2 linked regions of the Oreochromis niloticus genome follow. The protein of the gene in region 2 purifies or fractionates together with the protein of the main gene of each other region. This does not show direct contact. Links are inferred from orthologs where the notes say so. Each region holds a gene or a part of one and is shown on either strand. Other genes may lie near its edges. The genes, in order: mlx and mlxipl.

The links.
Region 1: the proteins of mlxipl (region 2) and mlx purify together in Homo sapiens (affinity purification with western blotting; 3 studies listed by BioGRID and IntAct, counting the BioPlex papers as one, with this or other methods). This does not show direct contact. The link is inferred for Oreochromis niloticus from reciprocal best matches to the Homo sapiens genes MLXIPL and MLX.

The regions. Positions count from the first base shown.
Region 1 is NC_031969.2:25,987,955-26,004,775, forward strand, and holds mlx (max-like protein X), read left to right. Parts: upstream 1-9,166; 5' UTR 9,167-9,269; coding exon 9,270-9,308; intron 9,309-10,214; coding exon 10,215-10,251; intron 10,252-10,393; coding exon 10,394-10,483; intron 10,484-12,681; coding exon 12,682-12,791; intron 12,792-12,870; coding exon 12,871-12,973; intron 12,974-13,419; coding exon 13,420-13,519; intron 13,520-13,838; coding exon 13,839-14,040; intron 14,041-14,136; coding exon 14,137-14,193; 3' UTR 14,194-15,773; downstream 15,774-16,821. UniProt on the Homo sapiens protein: Transcription regulator. Forms a sequence-specific DNA-binding protein complex with MAD1, MAD4, MNT, WBSCR14 and MLXIP which recognizes the core sequence 5'-CACGTG-3'. The TCFL4-MAD1, TCFL4-MAD4, TCFL4-WBSCR14 complexes are transcriptional repressors.
Region 2 is NC_031975.2:7,054,888-7,069,996, forward strand, and holds the start of mlxipl (carbohydrate-responsive element-binding protein), read right to left. Parts: upstream 8,191-15,109; 5' UTR 7,982-8,190; coding exon 7,635-7,981; intron 7,121-7,634; coding exon of another isoform or gene 7,111-7,120; intron 6,144-7,110; coding exon 6,037-6,143; intron 5,886-6,036; coding exon 5,803-5,885; intron 5,709-5,802; coding exon 5,619-5,708; intron 5,383-5,618; coding exon 5,341-5,382; intron 2,375-5,340; coding exon 2,200-2,374; intron 935-2,199; coding exon 854-934; intron 1-853. UniProt on the Homo sapiens protein: Binds DNA as a heterodimer with MLX/TCFL4 and activates transcription. Binds to the canonical E box sequence 5'-CACGTG-3'. Plays a role in transcriptional activation of glycolytic target genes. Involved in glucose-responsive gene regulation.

The sequences.
Region 1 (16,821 bases), on a different chromosome or scaffold from region 2:
CTTGCCAGCTGAACTGGCAAGGCTTCTTCTGGTAAAATTAAAGCAGTTAATGCTAATATTTTCCATGCAGTGTTAGCTTGTAAAGCGAGAGTACATGGTATCTGTCATGAAAGTTGTTTGGCTTTTTTAAATAAATTAACAAGATGTTAAGTGATTGACCTCTTGTGAATCTAAAAATATAATAAAATCGCTGAATATCATTATCACTTAATAGCTATCTACCAAACTGTTAACTAGGTCAGCATCTGTGCTTCCATTTAACACTTATTGTACTTCAGACAAACACAGAGAGACAACTATTCAATCCTAAAACCAAAGCAGAATCACCAGTTAAGAAAATCTCATGAAGCTGAATCTGTTTATCTGGAAATAACACAGCCCATTTTAAAAGTTGATTAGACAAATTTAGATACAGTGTCAAAAGATATTATTCTATTAGTTGTAGCTTTTCTGGTCATATGAGGGACTTTAAAAAAAATATCCACACCTCTAGATACTTGTCTAATCCAAGGTGAGTGAACTCATATTGTAGATGGACACGGAAGTTCATGTTCTCCACTGAATGGACCACAATGTTTATGAACTGCATGCAGGCAACCTTTGGGTAGAAACAATGAGAGTTAAATGTCGTTCATGCGCACGGTCTCTTGGTGAATCTGCATCCAGTGGCTGTGGTACCTACCATGAAGTCAATGTTGTTGTCATCATTGATGAAGTACTCCATGAGCTTCTCAAAGCGGTTCCTTTCTTTGCTCACCTGAAAAAAAAAATAAAAGCTTGCTAAATATGTATTTTTATTATTGTGAATATGGGAGGATTAAAAATAAACTGATTATAAATGTGTTAGCCCACCTCAGAGAACATTAATACTGAGAGTATATTCTGCACCTCAGTATGGTACGTGATTTCAGTCTTAAACATAAGCATGCATGACTTTTAGACATGTGCTAAAATTGCGACCATAGTGCATGTGAGCAGTAGACTGTTACTCATAAGATGAGCAATGAAAGAGGGGAAGTCTGAAGTAATTAGATGCCTGAACAGTCAAAGTCAAATAAGGCTCTTGGAATACGAGGAAATTGCCTGAACAAAAATAATTTCACCTCTTTAAAGTTGTCAAAGGCAGAGAGAATGATGTCGTGTCCTCCTCGGACGAGACAGACGGCAGCCAGCAGCTCCAAAACAAGAGCTTTGGTCCTGCCACGACAGAGGAGGATGGGTGAGATGTGGATGCAGACACTTAACACACTTTATCTCACAGACAAATGCGCTCACCTGGGATTCCTGCTGTTGAGACTGAGGGTGATCTCATTCACGCAGCGTGGGTGAGTCATCACCAAATTAAAACCAGACTAAAAGCAGACGGAAGATACATAAACAGCTGTTCAAATGTGCTAGAAACAAGAACTGGGTTTTTTTTGACAACCCAGAAAACATGTCATATACTGTGATAATCCATTTTAAAGACAGCATAGGAATTAAGTGACTTTATTAGACTGTGTGCTAAAGCTTTACCTGATAGTTCATGATGGCTCGCAGGCACATTATGCACACATGTACATCATCTCTCTGGTTGTTTATGTGGGACTTCTTATGTATCTTGTTTACCAGAGTGGAGCTTATTCTGTGAAGCAATAATACATGTTGGAATACATGTTTGAGGGAAGAGAATCTCCTGTATGCATATACATATGGTAAGATATGCAGTGAGATACTTGTAGCTTTGACTTCTAGGGTTTTGGACAGTCACTGTGTTTGACAGATGCTATGTAGCACAACATGGAATGAAGATAAAGGATAAAAGACGAACTAACTTTACTAACAAACAGTTGGATGACCATGTGAGGGGATCTGAATGAATGAGAGCACGAGAATGTCAATGGTTATCTTTTTTAAGAGGAGGCTATGCTGTGGCACTGTATCAGTTAAGTTACTAAACCTAAACCTATGTTTCATATTTTAGAGTTATAATCTTATAAGCTCTTACTTATATATCAGTTAGAGCTGTCACTTTATTTGAGAGTATTTCTATTTCTGGGCTCACAGATTTTCTCAAATTCAGTCCTAAATATTTATACTTCGACAACTTCTTAAAAGAAAGAGAGGTGTAGCATGGCACAGTTCTCACAGCAGTGGAAACCACTGTGGTGCTTATCAGTACCGCAGAAGTTCGTGGAGTTTTCACACCACTTCTGCTTTGCATGAGTCTATTTTTTGACAGTGTGTAGAGCTGCTTATGTTCAAAGTTCATTCTTCATTCAAAGGCATTTGAACTGTGCAACTTCTCTGAAACCATATTGCTGTTTCTTAAAGCTACTGTATCTCAGTAACCTTTCAAGTCTCGAGTTCCTTACCTTACAGTCAGTGCACGAGCCGCTCTGGTCATCCCATGTGACTGATGGCTGCTGGAGCTCTTGGTCAAGTCTTCCATTGACCTTTCTGCTGATTTTCCTCTGTCTGACAGGCTGCCACCATTTTCTATACCCTCAACCTCAAACCTTAAAAATAGACATCTTTTTAACACAATCTATAACAGCACAATTAAGTTTCGAAACTCAGACCGATTCTAAAATAGCATTCATGTCTGCTTAGTACTCACGAGCTGTCACTTTGTGCGTAGGACAGGTATTCCACCAGAACATCCAAACCTTTATTCTGTTCATTGAGAAACTCCTGGGCCCATCTTCAAAAAAGAAAAGTAAATCATGAGGAGTGACCATATGTAATAGATTCTGTGCCCAGACAGGATTTATAGCCAAAGATTGTAACTTTAGAAGGAAAACAGAACGCAGTCCTGCTCTAAATATGGAATCCAGCACAGTCAGGTGATTTTCTTTTGCAATCTTACATTTTTTTTTTGAGGAGTTGCACTATGAAGGAAAAAAAAATGCAATAAAGTCAAAGGGCTAAAAAACCCCAAAACAGATTATTTCTGCACTGGTTTTGCCGCCTTTTCCACTTTATGTACAAATGTAACAATACATCGAAGCTTTAAGTACTGCTTCTGTAAAAGGTTGTATATAAACTATATATAACTGTTGGTGTGCTGAAGAACCACTTCAGCAAAGGTTTTTATCACCAGCTGAAAAATATCAAGTGAAACTAAAATAGCTAAATGATTTATGTAGGTAAAGTGCACAGACAGTTTGCAATTTCGCTAAAGTTCGCCTTGAAATGTCTTTTAGCGTTAATGATTGATAAAGATTTTCAGGTTGGACTGCGTGAAACTGCTATTAAAATCTGGAAAACATACTTGTGACACACCAAAAACCAAAATAAAACACATTACACCTTAAACACTAATAAACCAAACAGAGGCTCATGAAACAAACAGGCTCACCCAATGTGATTGGTCCGGAGGGATATCTCCAAATTTTTAAGGACCTGGGTGGCATCTTGGATCCTTTTCTTCAACTAAAAAAAGCAGAAGGGGTTAAAGTCACTGATGCAGGCACATGATGCACGCATAAAGAACAAGAATGCTTTCTACTGACCCTACGAGACACCCCTCCTTGATCCTGGTAGAGGCTTTTGATCTTGGTCAGGTAAGTGGATGGGGGGCTCTTCACCTGGAAACGCTCCTGTGGGAGAATATTTTACAGAGGATAGAGTCAGCACATGCTGAAGTAGAATTAATTTAAGCAGCGACCTCAAATAACGACTGATCCAGAACCATATTTTACCAGCAAGCTGCATTTGAAGTTATTCTAGTAAATACAACGAGCACAAACCGCTCTCTGTTTCCATGCCGACGGCTCTATCAGTTGCCACCACAGAAACTATGTTGCAAGGTTTGCAACCACCACTTAAGACTCTCCCCTTTGGGTATTTGTGCACTTTATATCAACTCTGCCCCCAGTGGAGCCAACGCTGCAAGAATTTGGTCCATTTTGATGGCATATGTTACTCATAAAAAACAAATAAAAGCTCTCACCTGATCACAGACTAATTCCCATTTCTTATCATTGTCGTATTGACTCAACAGCTGGAGTTTATCTGGAGGCAAGTTCATGGAACTCTGAAAGAAGAAAGATGTAAAGATATAAAATGGGTTTTAGAATTTACATGAAAATGTGTTTGGAGTACAAAAAAAATCAACTCCATCTCTACTGATATTTAGCAGAAAGATATTATACTATATACTGTCATTTCTTCGTGTTTCCTGCTCATGTAACATTATGCAAAACAACAATACCTCAGATGCACTTTCAGCACAAAACTGAAAGGCGGTAACTACCTACTGGTAGCAGATGACTCAGTGTTTACGTGTATGCATCGATCGTTGCCAATAGGTACCGATGTGTTACACGCACTCAGTGTCTACTCAAGCTTCAGCAACACTTTTTGACTTTTTGAATAATATGACCCATGTTTAGACATTATCTGTGCTGTCTGTTTCAGCTTTAGTAAAATATCTTTTTCGGTCATAAACTGCTCATAATATTTCTGTTATTTTCTGAATATCATAAAGACCTTTATACAGACCAAGTATCCTCCACCTCCATGATTCCAGTGTAGGTTGAATTTCGAGTTGGCATATTACTGTCCAAAAGGGACAGTTTCACACTGAGTTATCAAACCTACAGAGACATGTCATGTGTAAACGTTATTTCCCCATTCACAGAAACTGAATGAGCGGAGGTTGTTATTTTTAAAAAAAAGGTCAAATTAAAAGGAATAAGATACGTCAAGGCATCGGCGTAACTTTCTGCTGAACATTGGGGTGGGGGTCAAGATCTCTGTCTAAATAAATAAATCTGGGTAAATTCCCAGATGATTAAACATGCAACTATTTTGCTGGTAATAACTGAAATGAGTAAAGAAAATTAACAGCCTATTTATGCAAGATAATTCATAATTTTATTGGGGGGGTTATATTGGTTGAGTCTGATTATTGGGGGGGTCATAACCCCCTAACCCCCCTGGAAATTACGCCCCTGCGTCAAGGAAAAAGGCTTCACTCACAAAATTAACTTGTTTTCTTTGATCACTAATTCCCTGTAATTATTTATGTTTTGCTTAAAGATATTTTTTTCACAGTCCTCTCTCACATTACTGCAGCTGGTACTGCACTGGTACTATTTTTTTAGCTGATCAAAAGCTTAAATCAATGTGACCATTTACAGTAAGTTTAAATAATTTCAGTTGATGTTGGGTGTGGCTTTTTAATCTAGTTTTGTGTACATTCAAGCAGCGGTTTGACATCTTCTGTGCACTTTTTTCTTTAAAAAGGGAGGAGTGAAAACGGAAATGATCTGATGTGTTGGTGCTCGAAATGAGGCTCCTTCCTTGGCTGATGTAAGGGAGAGGTCTTACTGTGGTTTTGTGGTACTTAAAAAAAAGGTAATGTGAGTGCCTTGCATTATGAAGTTTATAGCTTCTGATTTAGTTACTCAAAAATAAAAAGTACTCACATTTTTCAGTAATGCAAAAAAAAAAGAAGGTTCACTTCTCGTTTCCTTGTTGGTGACGTCAACAATATAATCTCTAGACTGAGGTTTGACAAGTGACAAGTATTTTACTGAAGAAGGAAGACACTTGAGAGGGTGTTGTCATTTTCCGGAGAGCACATTTTGTGTAGATATTAATGAACTGTTAACCCTGGCTCTAAACTTCATTATCTTGCATGAAATTATAATGTTTCCATTCAAGGTTTGTCATATGAAGCAGATATGGCGTGAATTTTGACTTGTTTTTAGAATAATCATGGTATGCTGTTCCAATCAATGTCATTTTTGAGAAAAGACAAATAGTTTTAGTTGGAATAGTTGCATGGATTTATATTTGCTGTGTAAAGTGTTTGTTTTTTACTACGTAAAAAATAACTTTCTAATTGCACCCCACCTTCTACAAAAACACAAAATCATTATTTTTTTTTACATACACTACATTTTTATGTATGCTAAATATTTGCTTGAAAGGTTAAAACCCATTTACAACTGCTCTGAATAACACTGATCCTGCTTTTGTAATTTAATGTTTTGTTGGGAAAGCCTATGTTAAAGTACCATCCTAAACTTTGTGACATAATATTATTATTAATAGCAGGCAGGTGCTTTCCTCTGTGGTATAAGCCAGACTCATAGAAGCCACACCCTACAACTCATGGGTCTCAAAGGATTTGATACCAACATCCAGATGTTCAGCGGCAGGACAGCCTCAGGGGTTGACAGGTCAAAGAATCTTCGGTGGCTTTAACTAGATGTGCCCACTTCCAGACTAGTGGTTTTAATGAGTGTGGTTAAAATGTATATCTGGACACTTAATGCTGTAAATCATCTACCACATAAACCACAATGCCAGACATTATAGAAAATTAAAAATGAGAACATTGTAGAACAAACTGAACTATTTAGATGTAAAAATCTGGAGAACTTGAGCCTTGAAAAAGTAAAACTCTTAACTCATTGATGTTACTGGCTAAGCTATGTCAGATTAACATGACTGTTAGTGTCTTTGTTTCACTTTTGTAGATCTGTATTTTTTTCTTAGCATTGCTAAAGAAAAAACAAAACACAAATCTCATAGTTAACTCTATTTTTTCATTAAAAAAGTCAAAGAATAAGCCAGGATTAAGATAGTCTAAGCATCATGATTTGATATTTTGCGCAACATATAATCTAAAAGATCGTAATACTTGAAGTTTTATCTTTACTAACTTGTTGTGAGACTGTTGAAAGAATGGTGAAACATTTCCTTTCCGGTCCTGTGGCCTCCGGCATGTAAATGCATTGCTCAACTTCCCATTTCAGCCTGCTGTTGTGCATGCATTTATCAAGCAGTTTCTGGTTTGAATTTTTCTAACCAAACCATGAAGAATTTGGCAACTTGTTGACAGGATTGTCATTGTTTTTATCACTAAAGTGAAAATTTAAGTAACTGATGATATTTGTGCAAATTTGACTGGACAAAATGACAGACCATTAGACTCTGACTGAGGGTGTAACGATCTTTCTAACGTTCAGCTCTTTCTTCTCACTTGACAAATAGCTTTAGATACACCTAGAGAGTGTAAGAAATGAAGTAAAGTACATATTGGAGTCTATATTAGAGCAAAGTAAATTTCCAAAGAGTGAAAGATCAGTCACTTTCAAACTTGGGTTATTACCTTAACAATGTAACAATGTAAAATGAAAGCTGATTTGATATGTGTTTTTGTGATCCTCTTAATCATACTTACTTGCACAATCGCCCTTACATCTACAAACCAAAACTTTGTGCAAAATCTGCATGATTTCATATGGAGTAAGGGTGCACGGCGTGTCATGCTCTCACTCACCAGAACCATGTTGAAGCGCTCCTCCAGCTCCTTCTCTGGTGGCATGGGAAGTTTGGGTTGAGGAGGCTGCTTTTTTTGCAAGGTTGGTGCAGAGTCATTCATTGCTGAAGCTGCACTGACTGAGTTTCTGGCCTCTCGGCCTTCGGCCGGTTCATGCTCCAATCCCCCACCAGCCGCATTCCCCATCACTAATCTCCACAAGTAATCCAGGGGGACTGCTTTACGCAAACTGTTTCCTCCAGGAAATCAGCGTATCCAAAAGCAAAGTGACAAAAGATGGTCACTCTGAATTACAACAGCAAAAAGGCCCTAATCAAATCAAGTCTAGGGCCTCTAGGGCAATCTACATTAATTCTCAGGTTTACAAAATCCGCCTCACACCCGAGGACAGGGTGGGCAATGAAAAAAGAAAGTTTGTCCTCATGGCCCCCTTCTCCTTAAGTTGTCTTCAAGTTCCTTTTGAAAATGAGGTGATAAGTCCTGTTAGAGCCTGTTAGAACTCGAAAAAAAGGTCCGCCTATGCCTCATGCACTGTTGTCTACATTAGTTGACCGAGAACTCTCTGAAATAGTTCAGTACCGAAGCCTGCGTGTGAGAGGAAGGCAGATGAGGAGTGTGACACAGTCAGAAACCACAGAAGCACAAAAGCAGAAGAGTAACTTCCTGTGCATGACAGCTATAGAACCTGGGGCGGAGGACATGGTGGAAGATAAACATGGTAACCGTTACACGTAACCATGCAGTAGGTGGATGATGATAAAGAAAAGATACTACAGGAATGAAGGAGAGCAGACTCCAGATTTGATGTAAGATTAACAGATGTCGATGTAGATGTAAATCAACTACACAATTAAAGGGAACTTTGCAACATTTCACAAAGAAACCACCTTTTTGTACTAGATTTAGTCATTTTACTGATGTCAGCTTGCCATGAGTCAACGGTTACATTTGTTTTGGTGTTTTCCCTTCATGTGGTGGTTTAATCCAGACAGGTAAAGGTGGTTTCAGCATGACAAGAATTGTCAAACAACACCCCTATGTGGATAAAGATGACTACTGCATCTAGTGAGATCTATCCAGTGGGAATGTTAAGATAGTTATGTTTCTGAAAACTAACTTGTTACCATTCGTTGGCTCAGTAATTTACGAAGCCTGTGTGTATACAAATGATTTCTATTGAGGAAAAGAATAATAAGTTTATCACAGATGCATTTCTTTGAGAAAGTGAAAATTATTAGCTCCGATGCAACAGGATATTCATTTTCAAAGCTTTCTGAGACTCACTGGAAGGCAACAGTGTTATCAGCTGAGTAAAATGAAAAGATCAAGATAAAGATTCCTTTACTGCTGCCAAAAGAGAAGATTGGAGATGTGTTTAGACATCAGGAAAATGCTGGGAAAAAATCATCAAAACGATAAAGCTAATCATTTCCTTACAGGTGTAACAGTGGAGACGCAAGTAGCAGAGGTATTGAAGTAAAGTGAGTTTAAATACTTGGAGTTTTTCTTGTAAAGCAACAGTAGGTACACAAGATAGCTGAAGAAGAGAATGCATGCAGGATGGAGAGGATTGAGACGAGTGTCAAGGGTAATTTGTTACAGGAAGATAGCCGCAAGAATGAGATGATGTATGGTTAGGAAATGCTATCACTAAAAAAAGAGATACGCAGACCTGGAGGTGGCAGAGTTGAAGATTTTCACTGGCCATGATGAGCAAGATTCAAGAGCAGCTGAAAGAAAGCAGATTTATTTAAGTGTTTAAGAGACAAAGAACTGATAAAAAAAATAATTTTAGTTTTTCTCTCATACTATGTACGCCTTCTGTTTATTTTTTCTTTTCTTTTTAATACAGTCTTTCTGTGACATAAAACCTACATTTTATGCGGTCAGTTACTGCAGTAATCCTTCCAAACCATGGGGTGGCGTTTATCATGAACAGATACAATTTACTACCGTGGTGCACAGAAGAAGAAATCCGTCGCATTCCAAAATGACGGACCCGACAACATCTCCAGAGGACCAGTGGAAAGTGAGTAACTGCTATCAGAAACCTCTATTTCGGGTTCAGATGACTCATGTGTATGGCAGCACTGGCAAATGACAAAAGCTGTGTTGTCTTAAAGTTGAAGCTTTAGTAAAGTGCAGGGGGTACACGGTTTGTTAGCTTCGTGGCTAACTAACGTTAGCTTCCGAGGTTTTGATAATGTTAGAAAGCTGTATTGGTTAGCTAGCCAATTGCCTACTTATGTAAACAAAGCAGCCATTGTTCCCCCTATGGTGTATACAGTAAGTCTTCATCTACACACGCAAAAAGGTAAAAAAGAAAAAAGGTCAGAGTAGCTGCTTGTTTCTTGCAAATCTATAAGTGCAGCATCAGTGTTTGTGAAGCTCACATTACCTTGTCTGTTTTACACTATATATAATTAATTAGCACACCACAGAAATTGAAATGGTCTTCGTTCCACAGACTCCTTAATAAAGACGTTTAGCCAAATAAAACAAAGAAAATAATTAATAATAATTAACATATGTTCAGGGCCCCCATTAAAAAAAAAAATGTCTCTAAAATAAATAGGGAATAGTAATTTTACAGTACGTAAGTAAACGTGTAGTAGGATCTGTTGTTCAAACTTAACATATATTCATTTTTTCCCCTCCTGAGCTTTTGAGACTTTGGAAACCACAAATTAGACAGCTGTGCCCTACATCAAACAATAGCTCTGTGATGAAGGCTCTTATTTTCTGCAGCTTTTTACCCACCTGTTTTCCTGAACTGGACAAATCAGGGCAATGCTCAGTGGGGGCTTAACTGGCTGGCTATTGGTCTTTTGTCAAACAAATGTAGGGCAGCACAGCGTTTTCCCTTGTTATTAGCTTTACAGCCTCTTATTTTTTGCCTTTTTCTATCTTCTGCTCTCTCGTGATGGCTCGGCAGACCGATGGTGCTTTCAGTGATGGTGGCTTTGACAACAGTGAGTATTCAGTCAGTTCTTGTGTTGTACTTCATCACCAGTGTAATCTGATCTCCCACATGATACCGATTATAGATGTATATCAAAATATATTTTGATTTTGTTGTGGATTATGTTTGATCACTGCTGTCTTGCTGTCTAGGTTATATTTCTGAAGCAATCAGAAAGGGCACTATTGTGTCCCGGGCCAACAGTATCGGCTCAACAAGTGCCTCTTCGGTGCCAAATACAGGTACTGGGTTTGAATGTTGTATATTTATGTGATAGTTAGCTACTAGTAATGTAATTGTAGTGTAGGTTAATTGTTTACTTGTTTGGTTGTTGTAGCCTGAGCCAGTCAGATATTTTTAAGAAAAAAGTTTTTGTTTATTTAGTGTAAAAGCGAAATACAGGAAATAGAGACAGCTTTGCTTATATTTCTCCATGATTTGTATAAAAGGAAAAATCTCTCTTGCTTGTGATTAATAAAAAATATATATTAACCTTAGCTCAAGGCTCGCAAAATTTCAAAATCTCTGGTGGCCCTTCGGGCAGGCCCTCTTCAGTTTTTGGTAGCCCAAAATAAATTTAAGTAGCCCGAATAAAAAAGAGAGCAATTTTTTAATGTTTTGTTTCCTTTACAATACTATACATTAAAGTATAATATTGTAACGGAAACAAAAATTAATCAGAAAGTTGTTAAAATACAAATCACAACAACTGTATAAAAATCACAGTCATCAACTCAAATACTTGGTTCTAATTGAACAGAAATTTCTATGAACTTGTAAGAACTGTGTAGAACATGAATCAGTCTGTGTCAGATCCTGAATCTGAAATTTCCACTGAAGTCACGGGTAAGGGGTGAGTGGAACCAAGATCTAGGCCATTTGCTTTTTGAAGTTTGCAAAGACTGCTAAATTTTGACAATGGTAGTTCACTCTTTGCAACATAGTACGCTTTTGAAAGATTTTTCAGGACTTCTGCTTGTGCTTGGTTTATTTTTAGTATGTTTTTTGCAATTGCTGTTTGTTCTGGGAAAGATATTGCAGACTGAGCAATAATGCATTCTCATGGGTTCTGATGGGGTCTTTCTTAAAATTACTGGTCCCAGTTATAAAGGCGCTTGTCGACTCAAATGAAATGAAACTCACAACACACCTGGCAGAACATCATGTTATTTAGCTCGTCATATTCCAGCCACAGAAATTATTTTGTCCATGAAACCAAAAAAGCTGAGCTTTCTTTTTGCCTCCTAGTCTGATTTGTCATAACGTTTCCGTTTTGTGGTAGGCTTTTATTTGGCTGCCCCTTCTTCACCCTGACCTGTCTTATTTGGCTCAGCAGAACTAAAATACCGGCGTAAGTCCTGCTGCTTTTACACACGTACTTGCATAACGGTCAGCGATTCTCTGCGCAATCAACCTCTCACATGTTTAAACTTGCTGTGGGAGATTTCACTTGTCACGTTTGAATAGTAAGCTAATGAGTGATAAGACGATGTCAGAGGAATTGGTGCGCAATCGTCACTCACCAATCAGTGCTGCCGCTCTCTATACACCGTTCGCGCGATCGCAAAGTGAAAGTGAAAGCAAAAAACAAGCACAAATTCAAACGCGATTTCAATATGTCACATATTGGCAGTGGCTCATCGATGCCGATGACATAATTACTCAGCTACATTTTCGAAAGAATGCAAAAGCATTGACACATATTTTCCCTTCCTATGATAGCCCGACGGGCAGGGCTGAGATAGATTTTGGTAGCCCGACTGGAAAAATCGCTAGCCCCGGGACGTCGAGCTAGCGATTTTGCGAGCCCTGCAGCTCTATAGCTTTTATTTTTATTTATTCCAGAAGTTAGAAAATTCATGTGTTACAGTAACAAAACATTAAACATGGCCCTTAAATATGTCTTAAAAAAAAATACAGTTTGAATAAATATAAATAAAGATGGAAATATTTTTTGTATTGCTATTACAGCAGTTAATTTTCGTATTTATTTTACTCTATTTTTCTGTACAATGTTTTGTGACTGCTTTATACATAAAATTTTCTAACTTCCCAAACACAGGGATTGCTGTGTGAGGTAGAAAATATTTCCTGTATTAGTCCATGTTTAATTATGGAAACATGTGTTTCATATTTTACAATATTTTCTTAAATTCTTTGAGGGTTTATGAGATGTTAAATAATAATTTACTGTGTAAATTAAGTCCATCACAGTAATTCTTACTGATGAAAATCAATGAGTGTTGCCTATATGTGTGAAATGAGTGCCAACACAGGAATGACTCCAGGGTTAATAATCTTGTACGGTTATGAATTGATTTGATCAACTTTTTTAAAATAGCTACTTCAGCATTTTGTAAGTTGGTTAAAAAAACGCTGCCAATGTCATGGTTCAGATTTTTATTTTTTCATTAATGAGTATTAATCTATTCCCACATAGATGATGAAGACAGCGACTACAGGCATGAAACATCATATAAGGACTCGTATAAAGATCGTCGGAGACAAGCACACACGCAAGCTGAGCAGAAGCGTAGAGATGCTATTAAAGTAAGGACACACATTTTGAAAGTTGGAGATTTGCTTTAACTTTTTTCAGTAGTTACTAGTTGCTCTCTTTTAACATTAGAAAGGATATGATGACCTCCAGTCAATCGTTCCAACATGCCAGCAGCAGTCTGAATTTGCGGTGGGAGCACAGAAGATCAGCAAGGCTACTATTCTGCAAAAAAGTAAGATGTGGTCAAATATTTGTTAACACTTGGACAAACTTGGACTGCCTCTGATGAGTAACCTTGACTTCAGATTTAGTTGGAGATAATCTATATATTAACTATTACATCTGACATCTTGATAAGAAAAGAGCAATTTTCTATCCTGTTTATGTGCCATGGAAAACAATAGAATGCTTTGTACTGAACTTGTTGTGTGGTGCAAGCTTTTCACAGTTACATCTCACTTGGCCACATTTAACAATAAAAAGAGACGATAGACTAAGTTCAAGGAAGAACAGATATTTCCTGTCTTGCAGGGGCTCCTTTACCCAACAAAAGGGGAAGTTACAGTACTAACGCCCTCAGTATAAAGGTTAACTTTCAACAGTGTACCTAAAATTTGTGTGCAAGGCAGAAATCCCCGACTGACAATTTCTTGGTTGTTGTTTTGTTTGTTTTTTTAGCAATTGACTACATCCATTTCCTTCACAAAGAAAAGAAGAAGCAAGAGGAGGAAGTTTCTGTCCTAAGAAAAGAAGTGATGGCACTTAAGATTATGAAAACGTGAGTGGTTTAAAATTCATAAGCCAAACTGCTTTTTCCACATTGTGTTCTTCACAGGCCTTCTTTTTTTGGCGATCTGAGACTTCCCTAAATCCTCTAAACATACCTAGACAGATGGAAAGACAGATCTTAATTGCTCCTTGGGGATAAATAAAGTCTTTCTGAGACTGTAAAAAGAATGCTGGTCTAGGGCAAAGAAAGAAAACTGTGGAGTGGGGAATGCATTGTGTGCTTTTGTCCATGTTCTGTAAAGAGTGACTCAGATTCATTGTTTATGAAATTATATTAACCATCCCCCCCCCTTTTTATGTTTTGATAGGAACTATGAGCACATAGTGAAGGCTCACCAGAACAACCCACAGCAGGGAGAGGATCAGGTGTCGGACCAGGTCAAGTTCAACATCTTTCAGAGCATCATGGACTCCTTGTTTCAATCTTTCAGCAACTCTGTTTCAATGAGCAGCTTCCAAGAACTGTCGGCCTGTGTTTTCAGTTGGATTGAGGAACACTGCAAGCCACAGGTAAGGAGTATATTTAAAGAAACCCATGAGAACTTTATTATTTTGTGTTTATGTTGAGATATTCATAGTTTGTCTTCTGCTTATGTTCTTTCCTAGACGCTGCGGGAGTTTGTTGTTGGAGTGCTGCGGCAGCTCAACGGTCAGCTTTACTGACTGCGCCTGGCCTCTGGTTAACACCCAAAAATTGACTTTTTGAGCTTACTCTGGCCTCTAAGAGTGGAGTAAAAAAAATGTTGATCAGCCTCAAGCTATGCCGCAGTATTTACACTCACTTTGACTCATCAGTGACTCCTTGGCTGCAATTTGAGTACCTCATCACATGTGGCAGAGGTGAAAGGTGGCATTGGAATGATATAAGTTTAATACAAATCACTTTAAGCTTTGAAATGTACATACATGTTTAACTGAGTGTATTTCAGGATCTTCTGATTGTTATTTGATTTGGGAACCCAGCAGTACAGAAGTCACTGTAAGTGCCGTTTTCAATGTGTCAGGCAGGCAAAATATTGTGTTTAACTAATGGTAACCACCATCTGCAGTAGCCATAGTTGCCCACACTGAGATAAAAAACATGAGGAGGGGAGATTAGATCTTAATAGCAAGAACTCTTCTTACAGATTGAGTGAACTGATGGTATAGTTTATGGTGCCTTTTAAAATAATCAACAGAGATAAGGGGGGAAGGGAACTCATGAGCCAACACGTTCCCCTCTGTCACATCAAGCATGACTTTGTAGCTTAATGCTGAACCAAAGGAGCTCTTTCAGCTTCAGTGGACGAACACTGAGCCATTCCTCAGCTGTAACAGATAATAGAAACTACTGCAGAGTAACAATCATTGCTAAGTGTGTTATCAGGAAAATGCTATATGAGGTCTCAACAATTTATCACTGGGATTTGGCTTGTAATCCGACACATTTTGAGATGTACATAAATGGAGCTGTGACAAGCTGACAAAGTGCTGAAATGTCAAATTATTGTATGTATAAATTTAAATCTCTTTACAGTGTGCCATTTAACATTTTATAGTTGGCGTATTTCAATTCAATTTGGCTTCAATGGCAGGAAAAGTAATGAGTATTCTGTCTCATAATTGAGCTCATCACACTATGAAGCAATGTGTGTGGTGATCTTTCTGCAACTTTCAGATTTTCCTTTAATCAAAAAGCTTAAAATTTCAGCTTGTTGGTCCAATTCCAACAGAATAAACATTGTTTACTTTTGTTATCAGTGGTTCTCAGTGGCTAAGATGCAGTTCATGCCATGCTGTGTATCAGCCAGAACCCGCTTTTTTTTTTCTCCACCATCACTTTGAAAACTGTCCCTTTGAACTGCACCAGCCAAGTTCATGCTGAGAGAAGTGTTGAGAAGCTACAGCTGCTGTGTGCTGAATTATAATGAGTGAATTTCAAGTAGGTGACAGCTCATTTTAATGATGGTTGTTTGTTGTTTCTATAAACATCCTTTCCTGTGTTAGCTGTTTTCATGGAAATGTTGTTTTTTTTTAACTGTCTTAAGTTGTTGTTTCGGGTGTATTAATAATTCTGTCATACAAGCCATGTACACTCAGTGGCCACTTTTAGTTACCCCCTGTAAAATCCAGTCTGAAATCTGAGCCTTAAAGTCTGCTTTATAAAGGTTTTTTTTCTTTCTTTAAATGTACACCAGCAGATAGGTGTAATCTATGCATTAATGTACAGCTCTGTTAGTGTTGTAGTTTGCTGTGGTGTTGAATGTTGACGTTTTTAATTTACAATCCAAGGAGGTTGAATATTTAACCTCCTAGGACCTGGCGTCCACATATGTGGACATCACATTTTGGGCTATTTAGACCAAAATACTCAATTTTGCGCTACAACTGCCTGATATCCACTTACGAGGACATTATACTGCTACTGTTCTATCGAAATTTTAAACGAATATCCTCGTATGTGGCTCTCATTTGTCTTAGAAACAAAAATTAGGTAAAAAAAAAAACATCTGGTAATTCTTTGTTTTTACATTCATTGGGCCCCAATATGCCCAAATATATATATATATATAATATAAGAGAAATTAAAAATCCATGCCGTGGAAGAGTTCGGGTCTTAGGAGGTTAAAATAGGTTTTAAATCTGTACCTCTGAGAGAACACTGTGTTTGATTGTATTCAATTTCATAGGTTTGCCTAATAAAGTGGCCACTGAGGGGTTTTTTTGTCATCCAAATTATGTGAAAATGAAGCATCTGTGCATAACAATAACAGGAAAAATCATAAAGCTAGGCGGTGGTTCCCAACTGTGCAGCTAATGAAATGTATTTTATTTATGCTTCACAAGAATTAAAGTAAAACAATTGTGGCGCTTCAGCATCAGAATTTATGGTGTTGAACATTTAATAAGCAGAAAACAGTACAACTGTAATTAAAAAAATATAGATATATACATTATACATTTTAAGTTATGCTTTCAGAAAATAAAGCAAGATGGAGTTGAACAAGAACAACAGAATGTATAGATTTTAAACATTTAAATAAAGCCTTGAGATTTTCACTGGAAAGCTCAGGATTGGTTAAATCGCTTTAGAAGGGAAAATTTAAACCAGCGTTGCCTTTGAGGTGAAGAGCATGACTGTGTTGTCAATTGATGTGAAAGTGTTAAGAGTTTCACAAGCAACGAAACAGTTTTTTATAAAAACATACTTTCAGTTATGAACTTTTTTTTTCAATTAAAGCATTTATTAAAGTTGAACTATTTATTCAAAATAAAGGGCGATAAATAAAGTATTCTCTGGGCTTCAGATTG
Region 2 (15,109 bases):
CTTTTAAAGCCGTCAAGCTAGCTAACAGTTGCATATTTATACCTCTAAATGATACAAAGCAGCAGTGAAACTTGTGTAAAGCCAAGTGTTGGTCCATCTAATGAAAATTAGTGCAACTTTCATTCATTCCAGCTTAATTTATGTGATGTTAGCTCCCTACACCATGAATTTATAAAATCCAATCAAAATTAAATGAAATCACAGACCTAAAAGCTACAGCTCAATAGGAATTAAGGTAACAACACAATTTCACTTTATAAAAAAAATAGAAAAGTGTATCTGCTCACTGATTAAAAACAACTTTCTCTCTGATTTTTACAGATAAACATCAGAAATGTACTTGTTTAGTATTCAAAATGGCCAAAGCTCATTGGCTATTCGCTAAAAACAAACAAACAAACAAAAAAAAATCTGCCATCTTCCAGCCCATCAATATTTATTTCCCCCAGTTTCTAGGTGGTGCCAAAAGTAGCAATAGTGGTTAAATACATCCTCTTCCACTTCCCCATTTTCCCCAGTTCAACCCTGCCTCTGACAATCCTTTAACTCATGAATGCCAAACAACATACTGCTGACACAGCACAAATCAGAGTGTCCCTCAAGGTTTTTTCACTCATGAACATCTGGAACATAAACCTAATTTATGTACCACAAAAATATGATTAAGATAATCATCATCCAAATATGGCTGATAAGAATCTAATCTTAAAAACTCATGTACTCTTCACACTATATCATGCACTGTCAGCAAGCATTTAACTGTAATCAACCAGTGATCGGATGCATTAATCAATTCTCCACATTTACATCATTAACAGATAAAGAGATGGACATATGAAAGGGTAGAAAGTACCTGGTATATCCATGAAATCATCCAGGTTGGGCTGCAGTGGAGTCAAGCCTGGCTGAATCATGTCAGCATTATTGGTGTATGCTGATGAAGTGGAAGAGAACATAATAATAGATGCACGCATGAGAAAGAAATGCTCTAGTGCTATTGTGTATTTTTTTGACAGGTCGTCTTTCATCATAGGGAATTTCCTTATTTGTAAGGTGGGTTTCATTGGCTGAATTGCTAACCTATGTGACCAGCAGACAGAGTCACCAAAATGAGGTAGGAGCTTAGAAAGTGAAATACTTCTACATTATATTGAAGCATAGTTTGGATTTGTTTGCTCTCTTGCTGAGAGTCAGTGGATCTTTCATCAAAGGCTGTTTTTAGCAAAAACTGGACACTGGCAGAAAGAGCCAGCTGGCTATTTTTATAGGCAACCTGTCCACCTGCTAGCTGAAGAAATCACATATCTTGTTTGTTTAGGTTGCACAAGAAACAAAGTGTTGATGGTGACTTCCTGCTTTGCCTTGTTGTTGCCTTGTCACTGTGAGATGGCTTGGAAAGCGGCACAGACTCCAAAATTTATTGTGCCCGATAGTCCCCAGCTCTGACTGAGCTTTAGACGTGCTGATCCATGTTGCCTTTTTGTTTTCATCTTTTTAAGCTAGGACAACCATCTGCTGGGTAAAGCCATACTTTGAACAGACAGATAATGAGAGTGTTGGAAACCTGAGTGCGAATGGATGAGAGGCTATTGTTAACCCCCCCCCCCCCCCCCCCCCCCCCCCCAACACACACAAAACCCACAAACAAACAAACAAACAAACAGGTGATGTAGCACCGCAGTAAACAGGCCTCAATCCCTACCTTTATATGTTGCTGTTATCAAATTTTAAAGAAAAAAAAAATTCTCAATTTCTCAGCATTTTATATGATGCCCGTGTATTATTTTCAGTCAAATTTAACTTTTTATTATTTGAAAATAAATGCATTTTGCTGTTATTTACCTTTTTTGGGGGGGAAAGGGCATACATGTCTGAAAACGGGACCACATTTAAAATGAGAGATAGTCCAACCATATCTCTATGATTATGTTCCTTTTTTCTGAAAATCTGTCCCTAAAGCTCCTGTTTATGACAGACATGAGTTAGAAATATCATTTTGGGCAATTTATTTGATTCAAAAAGTAAAATAAACTGGGATATAATTTTCAGCCCAGTGACAGCTAATTGGAATCAATTATTTTAATCCATGCAGGGTGCACCCTACGATCACCCTTGCTTTTAAATGCTTCCAATCAAATTCTGCAAGTTTTGAGACTAGTCCCTGCTGAAAGTCATTCCACAAATTAGTCTACTACTCACTGTTGTGTCGCTCACTGGTCCAGGGACACGACTTCTGTGTCATGGTGAACAGGGTGTCAGAGATGTCGGACAGAAGACAGTCCAGGTCAAACATGTGGGCCTCCGCGGGGACAGCCTCGGGTTCCTGGTAGATCTGATAGGACCATTTATCCTGCCTGGCTTGGCAGATCTGACCCTGCAGAACACCAACAAGGAATCAGAACACTTACAGGATCTGACATGCCAAGTTAATCCCAGATCTATCCATTAGGGGCTCAACATAAATAGAGCTGGAAAGTCCTAATTCATCAATGACTTCTGGTTCTCCCAATCTGTGCCTGCAATTGGTGCTCTATGAAAACTTAGTGCCACATTTGTTCGGCTAATAAATGAAAAAATGCCTCTCAAAACTAATATTAAAACAGCAGAAAAAACAAAACAATATCCAGTTACACACAAAACAAAACTGAAAACCTACAGCATTGACAACTTCAACAGGAAACATGCGCTAAGCTGTCCCCCTTCTGCCCCTTCTGCTTCTTTCAAACCCAGTGAACAACTCACAGAAATGAAGCGCCACAGCCAGCCTGTTTGACATGCTTTGTTTCACCCCGATCTTCTACTCTGCCTTTACCTTCCACTTCTAAGCTTGGGGCCACATTTATAGGGAAGCCCACCAGATTGAGCCGGAAACTATTTCTGATTACGTCTGAGCACACGACATCCCCTCTTAGAATACAAGCACGCACGAGCAGAAATGAGGTAAGATTGTTGTGCGCACATGTATGTGTATATGTGCGCGCGTGTGCAAGTGGGGTGCATCATGAAAAAGCTGTTTTAACACATTGTTCAGAAACACTGGGCCCTCACAGGTTTTCATTATGTCTGCTTTGTTCATTTCTTTATTTTGATGTCTCACCATTTCAATAAGAGCGGCAGCCTTTTGTCCCTGACCTAATTCTGGGAGTTGCACACACACACACACGTGCATGCAAACTGGAAGAGGCCCCTGTTAAACACAAACTGATGCTGCTTGGAGAAAATACACACATGCATATGAGCGGCTGAAAGACTGCAGCATCTACAGGGTGCGTTTACATCGTTTGGTGAGAAGTTTCGTTTCAAAAGAGATTCTACTAGATCCAAATCTAACTCAACTTTGGTATCCAGAAGGATGCAATTTTTTATTATAAAAATCATCAGTGAAACTTACCCTACCCTACACATTACCCCACTTTTAAAACTTTTGCATCTCCTACCTATCAAGTTTGAATTTCATTCAACGACGTTGGTCCTTCCAGGGGGCCCACCTACATTATTGAACTGTTCCATCCCTGCACTACAAGTTGGCTTCTCAGGTCCTCAGACAGGGGTCTTCTCACGGTTCTGTGTGCCCATCCAAACACTGAGAGTGATCGTGCCTTCCACACCTTAGCTCCAAAACTGCAGAAAAGCTCGACTGTCTTTGTGCCTGTTTTAATGGGCAGCTTAACCCTGTAACACCAAGTGGATCGTATTTGTGAGGTTTTGAGACCGCTACATTATCAGTGTGATTGCTTTTCCCTGAAAAGCCTAAATATGTTGCACAAATGTTAAGCAATAAATTGCACAAAAGTCCCAGATGTAAATAAAAAAATCTTAATTAAAACTCCTATATGCAAATTTCGCTCTTTTAAATACTTGTCAGAAGGTTCATTAAATAATGTATTCCAAAACATTAGATTTTTCTGTAAATTATTTGATGGTTCAGAGTGTACAGTGCTTGTAGTGTGTGTTCATTTTGTTTACTTATGTGTGCGTCTCCCTTTTGCAGAGTGTGAATTTTTTTCCTTTCAAAGAGCTATAAAAATAAACTTTACTCGCTTACACGGCATTATCACCTAATCAGATATTATTTGACTCTCAGACTGACTGAATATAAGGGCTAATGTTGCAAGTCCAGTGATCTTAATTCTCAGTCTTTTTCGTGCTATTATTAGAGCAGTTTTCCAGCTGCCCTCTTCGGGCCACACCACACACTACATCCTTCAGGTCCCAGCAACCTACTGAAATAGGGAAGGTGTGACCAGGTGTTGAAGAACAGCTCAGGTTCAGCTTCCCCTGAACCCACTGCTCCACCCCTCCCGTGCAACTGAGCCACATAACCACACCCCGCTACAGTCTGTAAATGAACTGTGTAAAAATCTCTTGAAATACATTGTCACTGTAGATAATACTCTGAACTTTATTTTACTATTCTACTTTATTAGAAAGTGGTTGATGTTAAAAATGTAAAGCCAATTAAATTTCAGACTAGTGCTGTCACAGGTTAAAAGTGCACAACTGTAACTGTGTAACCGCATATATGACATGATTACAGTATACGACATACACACTTTTGACTAGTGTTTTTCTAAGCACTAAATGTAATCTGTTAAGAGAATGGTGTGATAAGAATATGAGTGCTCAGAGCATAAAAACACAGTGAAGTGATCTTTGACCTGTTAGCTACTTGCTGATATTGGCCTTGCCGTGTTATCTATCAAAACACGGGTCAGACGCAGCATTATTATTGGAGTTTTCCTAATGTTGACCTCAAGTAAAGCTTGGACCTCCAGTGCCACAGCACATCTACAGGAAAATGAAAAATTAGAGCCCATGAAAGATGAAATATGAGGAATACTATGATGAAAGCCACTGCCCCTCTGCTGCCCGGTTTTTACCAAGTGCTGATGGAAGTAGGTCACATTTGATCAGGTTACATTCATTTTTTTTACTGTTTTTCTTGAATAAAGATAAAGAGTTATGGGTATTGTCGCAGCAGGCAGTTAGCTGGGTCAGTTGCCTTCATGTGTCAGGTTGTGACGCACAGCCCAAGTTGTTTTGCCCATTTCTATTTTCTTTTTTAATTCCCTTTTTTTCTCCCCTTCTCCCTTGTTCAGCCAGAGAGGCTAAATCCAAATGCTAAAAATAGTCACTTGGTGGACTTTAGTGGTCGTATGTCACTAAAAGGACATTCAAAAGTAAACAATGCCAGCAGGTCACCCACACATTACAATATACGCTGGGTCAGTTGGCCAGCTTCAGCCTCCACTCATCAAAGTCGATACTTGTCGACTTTAATTTGCTTGCAATATTGCAATAATGTAGCAATAACAAAGTAATGTGTGGCTTCTGACTTACCTCTTGAAGCATTAATAGAATGTCATCCTTCTTTTTCTGAAGCTGCAGGAGGAAAAGACAGAACGAGTGTGGAAAATGAACCATGTTTTTTGTTTCTTGGCTCATCATTTTAAGTTAACTAATTACAGTTTTGATCAGGTAAATGTGTTGGAAACTGGGGCCACTGAGGTTCATCCTTTGGGGACTATGACAACGTGACAAACTGTCCAACCAATAGGTACTGGTAAGCTGACTTAGAGACAGATTAAAGATGTACAATGAAGAAGGTGAGCACTCACCCTCTTCTTATAGTAAATCCTCCACTTATGGTACTCCTTGATCACCACCTCAATCCTTCTCTTCCAGTAGCTGCCCTCTAATATGATCGCCTGTTGACACGATGCCAGAGAAACACCAAGTATGTTAGTTTGTTTTTCAAGGATTAGCCAAAACTTGCAAGACCTACATCATTCATTCACTCACTTCGGGCTTTCGATGCGCATCTGCCTCCAAGCCATCCAGCGGGGTCACAAAGCCGCACACTGGGTTTTTCCTCTTCTCCACATCTGAGCCCAGCATAGAGAGTAAAAAAAGACAAGAAAATCAGCTGCTGTGTAGACATTCATTCTGGTGAAATGTGGATTCTCTCGACCCATGTTAGGTCACCAGGTTCTTCTAGTCTCACAATTTATAAAAAAAAAAAGCACCAGCACTCACACTGAATGAACCATGCTCTCCAGATTGCATTGTTCAGACGGATCTTATCCCTCCACAGCAACCGCAGACCCTTAAAAGATTTCCATTTAGGAGAGACTATCTTACCACTGTGGAGAAAAGAAAGGTGGAATATGTAATTGTTTAGGGGAAAATGTGAAAGCCCTTTCATTCATGATGTTTGTGGAAAAAAAGTCATAAACATGCATAATTGACTCTTTTAGAAAAACAATGGGAACACTGCCTCAAGCCTGCGCAAACCTGTCCTGATTTTGACTAATAGTAGCCAGTCACCTTATTCCCCGGTATACAACCAGGCTATACCGGGTTCTCTCTCTCTCTCTCTCTCTCTCTCTCTCTCTCTCTCTCCCCCCCCCCCCCCTCCCTCGCTTTTTCTCTGCCTGCTGAGAAGAGGACTCCTAATGTGAGGTGCTCAAGGAGTTGCTAGGAAGCCTGGGGAAATCATTCTCAACCTGGTTTTAATGGACTGACATGGCTCCGTATTATTCAGCCCAAACAGCAGAGACAGCATATTGCGGAAAAAACAAAGAGCAATCAGCAGAGGAACCACTTTACATCAGTCTGGTTAATGATAAATAGCGGAAAGCGGAGCAGCAATCTGTGCGGAATAAGAGGCTATGTCATAGGCTTGGAAAAAAAAAAGAAAAAAAAAAAAGAAATATATATATATATATATATATATATATATATATATATATATATATATTACTTGTTTTAAATCTATATTTTTTGTGTTTCTAAGACAAATTGTGGCACTGTTTCAGGATTCATTGTCCAACTATTATCAAACTAGACCTATAAACAAATGCAATTTTCCACCCAGCGACAGCAGATTAATTTAAAAAAGTCTTCTTTGGACCAAAGGTTGATGACAGCTCTTATAAACACGGTTTCAAAGAAAGTGGTCCTCATTTTTTAAGTAAATGAAAAATCTATGAGTAGTTTGATGTTACTGAAACGTAAGCACATTTAGAGAGTATAAGGAGGTTTCTTTGGTCTTTGGTTTGTTTTAAGTGCGGCGGCTTCCTCTGCTATAGTTGTTCATATGCAGGAGCTTCTTTGGGACATCTTGTAACAAATGGCTGCTCTCAAACAGAAAAACAAATTTCTGGGGCATCGTGTCAGGAGTTTCTCTCCTTTGCATCAGTCACACTGTCCTCTGTCCAGTCCTGCCAACTAGAATCAAAGTCCACTTTTTTTTGGGTGAAAATTTCCAAACTGGTTATGCAACAGACTGACAACACATATACACAAACAACCACAACCTTAACTATCGAGTTTGAAGGGAAATATATATATTAAAAAGAAATATTTAAAAATGTGGTTTAGTTTAGTTCGTTTAGTGAGCTTCAGTTAATTTAAAATACTCTTATTTTAAAACAGAGACTGCAGCAGATCCTGTGCATATCACTGCTTTAAATATCAGCTCAGAATGAGACACTTTCACATTCTTTGGAGATATTTTCTTCCACAAGGTTTAGCTAAAGTGAACAAGCAGAAAGCTGAAAATAAAAATGCTGATTAAAAAGCTGCTGAACCGACTTCATTTTTCCCCCCGACTACACGCAAAGGGGACCCACCTGTAGGCCAGTGACATGCACTCGAACAGGCGGGTCAGAGTGGGGTCGATGCTTAGGCTCCCGGAGCTGAGTGGACCGTAGCGGTACGTTTGACACCCCGTTCTGTTCACCGTGTCAAAGTCGTACCTCAGAGACCCTCCACTCTTCCTCCTCCGCGCTGCAGAGTCGCTGTGGGGCGAGGATACCATGAAGTGTCCGCTGTGGATCACCTGAGTGCGGGGGAAAGATTCGGGCGACGGCCCGGTGCCGGCCACCCGAGCGGGTTCCCCCTCCGGGTCAGAGTCCGATTCTAAGAAGTCCTGAAGCTGGCTCTCTCCGGCCGAGCAAACGCTCCCTTTGCCCGCCATTGTGCACTTTCATTCAGCGGTGAGCGTCGGACAGAAAGTGAACTTTCTCCTCAGCTGACTTCCCCCGCTTCCTGCCCTGTTTTCTTCAGATATTTGAATATTTCCTCAAGGAAGAGCCGATTGCTCATCTGTCAGCTGAGGGCTCAGCCAACCAGCTGCAGGACCTACACCTCTGGAGCATGGTGTGTGTGGACTGTTGTGTAACAGCATACTATCATTATGTCAACTTCCCGAGCTGGTAAAGTCCCCAAGGGAATAGACAGAAAGTGGTAATTATTAATAAACCAAAGCAAATACTAAATATTAGAAAGTTGGATGTGTGGATGTGTCACAGATTCACATTATCATTCTCTCTCTCTCCCTCTCTCTCTCTCTCTCTCTCTCTCTCTCCCTCTCTCTCTTTCCATATATATATATATATATATATATATATATACATATATATATATATATATATATAAAAAAACACCCAGCACGCCCCTGCGGGCAGTTTATCCTTCAAGCTCGGGTCCTCTACCAGAGGCCTGGGAGCTTGAGGGTCCTGCGCAGTATCTTAGCTGTTCCCAGGACTGCGCTCTTCTGGACAGAGATCTCCGATGTTGTTCCCGGGATCTGCTGGAGCCACTCGCCTAGCTTGGGAGTCACCGCACCTAGTGCTCCGATTACCACGGGGACCACCGTTACCTTCACCCTCCACATCCTCTCGAGCTCTTCTCTGAGCCCTTGGTATTTCTCCAGCTTCTCGTGTTCCTTCTTCCTGATATTGCTGTCATTCGGAACTGCTACATCGATCACTACAGCCGTCTTCTTCTGTTTGTCTACCACCACTATGTCCGGTTGGTTAGCCACCACCATTTTGTCCGTCTGCATCTGGAAGTCCCACAGGATCTTAGCTCGGTCATTCTCCATCACCCTTGGGGGCATCTCCCATTTTGACCTCGGGACTTCCAGGTTATACTCGGCACAGATGTTCCTGTACACTATGCCGGCCACTTGGTTATGGCGTTCCATGTATGCCTTGCCTGCTAGCATCTTGCACCCTGCTGTTATGTGCTGGATTGTCTCTGGGGCATCTTTACACAGCCTGCACCTGGGGTCTTGTCTGGTGTGATAGACCCCAGCCTCTATGGATCTTGTGCTCAGAGCTTGTTCTTGTGCTGCCATGATTAGTGCCTCTGTGCTGTCTTTCAGTCCAGCTTTGTCCAGCCACTGGTAGGATTTCTGGATATCAGCCACCTCCTCTATCTGCCGGTGGTACATACCGTGCAGGGGCCTGTCCTTCCATGATGGTTCCTCGCCTTCCTCCTCTTTCTTGGGTTTCTGCTGCCTGAGGTATTCACTGAGCACGCTGTCAGTTGGGGCCATCTTCGTGATGTATTCGTGGATGTTTCTTGTCTCATCCTGGACTGTGGTGCTGATACTCACCAGTCCCCGGCCCCCTTCCTTCCGCTTAGCGTACAGCCTCAGGGTGCTGGACTTGGGGTGAAACCCTCCATGCATGGTAAGGAGCTTTCTTGTCTTTATGTCAGTGGCTTCTATCTCCTCCTTTGGCCAGCCTATTACCCCAGCAGGGTACCTGATCACGGGCAGGGCGTAGGTGTTGATGGCCCGGATCTTGTTCTTACCGTTCAGCTGACTCCTCAGGACTTGCCTGACCCTCTGCAGGTACTTGGTGGTTGCAGCTTTCCTAGCGGTCTCTTCATGGTTCCCATTCGCTTGCGGGATCCCCAGGTACTTGTAACTGTCCTCTATGTCTGCAATGTTGCCTTCTGGTAGTTCAATCCCCTCAGTTCTGACTACCTTCCCTCTCTTTGTTACCATCCGACTACACTTCTCCAGTCCGAATGACATTCCAATGTCATTGCTGTATAGCCTGGTAGTGTGTATCAGTGAATCGATGTCTCGTTCACTCTTGGCATACAGCTTGATGTCATCCATGTACAGGAGGTGGCTGACAACCGCTCCGTTCCGTAGTCGGTATCCGTAGCCAGTCTTGTTAATGATCTCACTGAGGGGGTTCAGGCCTATGCAGAACAGCAGTGGGGACAGAGCATCTCCTTGGTAGATCCCGCACTTGATGGTGACTTGTGCTATGGGCTTGGAGTTGGCCTCTAGTGTTGTACGCCACATCCCCATTGAATTCCTGATGAAGGCTCTTAGGGTCTTGTTGATCTTATACAATTCTAGGCATTCCAGTATCCAGCTGTGGGGCATTGAGTCATAGGCCTTCTTGTAATCAATCCAGGCTGTGCACAGGTTGGTCAGTCTGGTCTTGCAGTCTCGGCTGACTGTTCTGTCTACCAGTAGCTGGTGTTTTGCGCCTCTGGTATTCTTGCCAATCCCTTTCTGTGCCCCGCTCATGTATTGACCCATGTGCCTGTTCATCTTAGCCGATATGATGCCTGACAGGAGCTTCCATGTAGTACTGAGGCAGGTTATTGGTCGGTAGTTGGATGGGACCGGTCCCTTCTTGGGGTTCTTGGGGATCAGGACCGTCCGACCTTCGGTTAGCCATTCCGGGTGTCTCTCGTTAACTAGCAGCTGGTTCATTTGTGCTGCCAGACGCTCGTGGAGTGCAGTCAGCTTCTTCAGCCAGTAGGCGTGAACCATGTCGGGGCCTGGTGCTGTCCAATTCTTCATACTGGAGACCCTTTCTTGGATGTCTGCCACTGTGATGGTTACTGGACCCTGTTCAGGGAGGTCGCTATGGTCTGCCCTCAGATCCACTAGCCACTGAGCATTGCCGTTATGGGTTGTGTCTTTCTCCCATATGCTCTTCCAGTATTGCTCCGTCTCCAGCCTTGGTGGTGCTGTTCTGTTATTATTGTTCCCTTGCCACTGAGAGTACACCTTTGCTGGTTCTGTGGAGAACAGCTGGTTTATTCTCCTGCCTTCTATCTCTCTGGTGTACCTCCTCAAGCGGCTGGCCAAGGCTGTGAGTCTTTGCTTGGCAGTTTCCAAGGCCTCAGGTATGGACAGCTTGTTGTATTTCTTATGCACCTTCTTTGTTGCGCCTTTCTGCAACTCCGTTAGTTGGCTAACCTCCCTTCGTGCTACTTTGATCTTGCCCTCTAGCCTCCTTCTCCATGGAGGGTACTGCCCTTGTGGCTGTTCAACTTGTAGCCAAGCATCTCACTGATCACTGCTGCCGTAGTGTAGATCAGCTTGTTAGTGTCGGTAATCGTGGTTGTAGGATATATATATATATATATATATATGTATATATTTGATGTGTTTCAGCAAGCAACATTTCTGCCCATGTGCGAAGATTTCTGCATATCACATAGGCCCCTATATCTGTGTTTAGGAATGATTATTAACAAGTTTTGATCCTTCATTTTTTTTAACCCATAAAGCAAAGAGTACCGGCCCCTACTGGCGGTATTCTTTGTTGCATGTTTTCTAATTATTTCTCTCTCTCTCTCTCTGTGTGTGTGTGTGTGTGTGTGTGTGTGTGTGTTAAGCCTGAAAATATTTTCTTGAAATATTTCTGGAGAAAATAATTAAAAAAAAAATCTCAACAGCAATCAGATATGAAGAAGTGGGTCTTCCCTTTACCTCACCCCCAACTGGTTGTAGCACATGGATGTCCCTCCCTGAACCTGGGTCTGCTAGAAGCTTCTTCCTGTTAAAACAGCCACAGATGTGCTAGAAGCTAGAAGGGCTAGAAGCTCTGCTCATGGAGAAACTTGCTAACCCCAAGAGGTGACAGGTACCTACAAATAACATGATATAAACCCACATACAGCCTAGCCACAAAGTAAACCAAGTCATTTAGTTAAAGACAGCATGGGACCAAATGCATCTAAGCAGCCTGCACCAACCTGACATTTCTTCCTCCTGAATTAAATGAAGACATGGATGGATGGATGAAAATTATATGACTTCAAACCTAAAATCATAAAAGCTACTAGTTCCCACACTGGTGTTCCCTGACTCTGAGTGTTAATTATACTGAGCTTGTATCAACAGTTGTAACAGGCTAAGCTAAGACACTGTATTGAATTATTGTTTCTATCTTTATGATTTCAGCTGACTGGATTCAGTTCAGATGTTCTCCTTTTCCTTTCGGTAGATCAAATGACAATGCAACTTTACTAAAACCTTTAAAGTATCTAATATAAAATAGAAAAATGAAGCAATCAGAGGTTTAATGATGGAGACTCTGGGTTCTGTAGTTCATGTTTTACAGTCCTGAATGACTATTTGCAAATGCATATAATTTATTGAAGTGGAGTTTAGGTTGCACTTACATTTAGACTGTTGCCATTTAATTTTTTTTTTTTTTTTACCTTGTTACCTTATGCCATGAATAAGGTTTACCTACCTACACTCCTAATGCCAATATGATTCTTTATAACTGCTGCTTTGAAATACTGAACTCCAAAATTTACCTCATGAAAGATAATAGTTCACAGTGGCACACTGTCAGAATAATTCTGACTTTAATATCACTGTATTAATCTGAATCTTTCTCAAATGTGCTATGAATAAATGCTGTTGCAACTCACTGTGGGAAAGCTGTTAATAAAATGAATCTGTGACACCTTCACAGAGGAAGAGCACACAAAGGGAGGACACACAGAGGCTGTGTTAAAGTCAGAAATCCAAATCTTTAGTCAAAAACAGGCAGCGGTTACAAACAGAAAGACAAGCAGCCCAAACATGCACTTAATGGGGTTAATTGCCCAAAGGTGTGAATGCGGAAGTGAATGTGAGTGCGAATGGTTGTCTGTCTCTGTGTGTTAGCCCTGCGACAGACTGATGACCTGTCCAAGGTGTACCCCGCCTTTCGCCCTTTGAAAGCTGGGATAGGCTCCTGCGACGCGGAAGCAGTGAATTCAAACAGCTGTAAAGTGAATTCAAACAGCTGTAAAAAAAAAATAACTGCGCACTGAAAAACTTAAAGCAATGTCTGACGCAACAATAGGAAACAGCTGAGTATATTCAGTAAATTATCATCAATTACAAAAGAGAAAAATGACGATTTCTAAAGTGTTTTTCTTAATTGCATTTAGAGTGTGGCTGGTAAAGATGAAAACAAACAGAATTGCGCATTATGACCAATGCGTGACTTGGCGGGGTCCTGAGGTAGGCGGGCTGTCTCTGGTGATGTTGTCATGAAACGCAGGAACAGCGTCTGACACATGTTGATGAAACATCCAAGACACTGGTGTAGTTTCCTTTCAGGCTGTTTGACATTTGACACTTCAACATTAAGGGGAACAAGAAGAAACAGTGTTAGGTCAGGTGACCACATGGTTTCTAAAATAACTGACAGGCTGTTAGAAATGGAGACCATGTGTTTAGAGTCACTGCGCAATAGTTACTGTAGTTAAGTAACTATACTTACCAAAAGCAGACGCACACAGATGAACAAGGATCAGATGCTGAATGTTGCAGGAACATGCTCATGTGTGGTGGTCATTCAATGCTGCTCTATTCTTTTGTCACTTGTCTCAGGCCTTTCTTGAAGTTGGCAGGTTAGACAGTCCAATAGTCATATCCTGCCCATCTGAGGAACAGTTTGAAAACACACATGCAATGCTTTATTCGTATTACGGTCAGAGTTGGATGTTCATTTTTGTCCTTTTCTTTGAAGCTGGATGATGACGACTCCTCTCTCCCTCACTCAGAAACACTCCTAAAATAACCAAGCAAATGAATACAATTAAAGATTTACTCCTTTCATTAACAAAAACAATAAAAACATCTCCCTTTTATTCAATTTCTCCATTCCTACTGAATATCAGGCATCAAATATCACAGTAAAATGTAAAGCACATACTATGTACAACATTTGCCTGCATAAAGAACATTAATTTCTAAATCATCAACAACTATTCCTTTTTTAGCTGTGGATGGTTTATCTGCTGCCTCTGATGAGAGATCAGTAATTCAGTAAAATCAGTAAATCAGTAATTTTCTCTGCTTTGTCTTACCTCTGCAGAGCCTCTGTCAAGAAAAACATATCTGTAAGCATAGAAGATGTAAAATATACATTTCATAGCACTGCACTGGACAAATCTGGGTTGACTTCCTCTGTGCATTGCAGAAAAGCATCAGTAAGGAAGTCAAGGTGGTGAGATGGACTCGTGCCCTTTTTGACTCTGCTAGTTCTTCTGAGAAAACACCACCGTCCCTCCACACCATCACCATCTGTGAGCACAAACTGCTACTCTGCCAGCCTGTAGGAAATTGGATCACCCACACAGAGGTGAAGAAACAGAGCTCGAGTTTGGATAATTTAGATCAAACTAGCTCTTAGTTTTAGCAATCCATTGAACAGACAGGTGTCAAATTTATCAAAACCATAACAGAAACACACACACAAATTTTATTTTTATATATATACACATATACATATATATACATATGCACACACACACACACACACACACACACACACACACACACAGAAATGTACAATTTTTGATTAACAGAAAAAATATGAATTACAAAAAATAATATTGTATGTTATTAAAATATTCTGCAACCATGATCAAAGTCAGAATATTCATTACAGAATTGTGGACTTACTACTTGGCTAATAGTGATAAACTTCAGGGGAGATCATGATGACAAAAAACACAAATAACACTGTGAAGTCAAGCTGCTTTTCTTCTTTCTGTGACGTCAGCATGCTGGCAGACTTGAAGTTGCTAAAGATTTAAAAAAGTGATAATTATAGGGAAGAAACTTCTCTTTTTCATCCGTTTAATCAAACATTTTATGCCTCACCTGTCTCAGTCCTATAGCATTCTGCAACTTCAACTAACCTGAGGAGGCTTGGATTTGGCTGCAGGTATCCCTGTAAATCCTTCTCAGCAGCATACATGTAGTTACAATTTAATCACACTTCTTCATGAGCTTTGCTTCCTCACAAGACCAAAGGTGGTATCCTGTGTCACAGTCTTATCATCAACCAACTGGAAAAGAAGTATTTCCAGCAATTCTGGTTTTGTTTTCTGATCCTGCAAAAAGACTGAGGACAACAAAGCCCAGAGAACACAAGATACACATCATCCAACATTTAGACACAAACAGCCCCCATACATGAAGAACACCAGGTTGCAACAGCTGCAAAATCTAGTTATAGATAAAAGCATACTTCACATTACTGTGTAT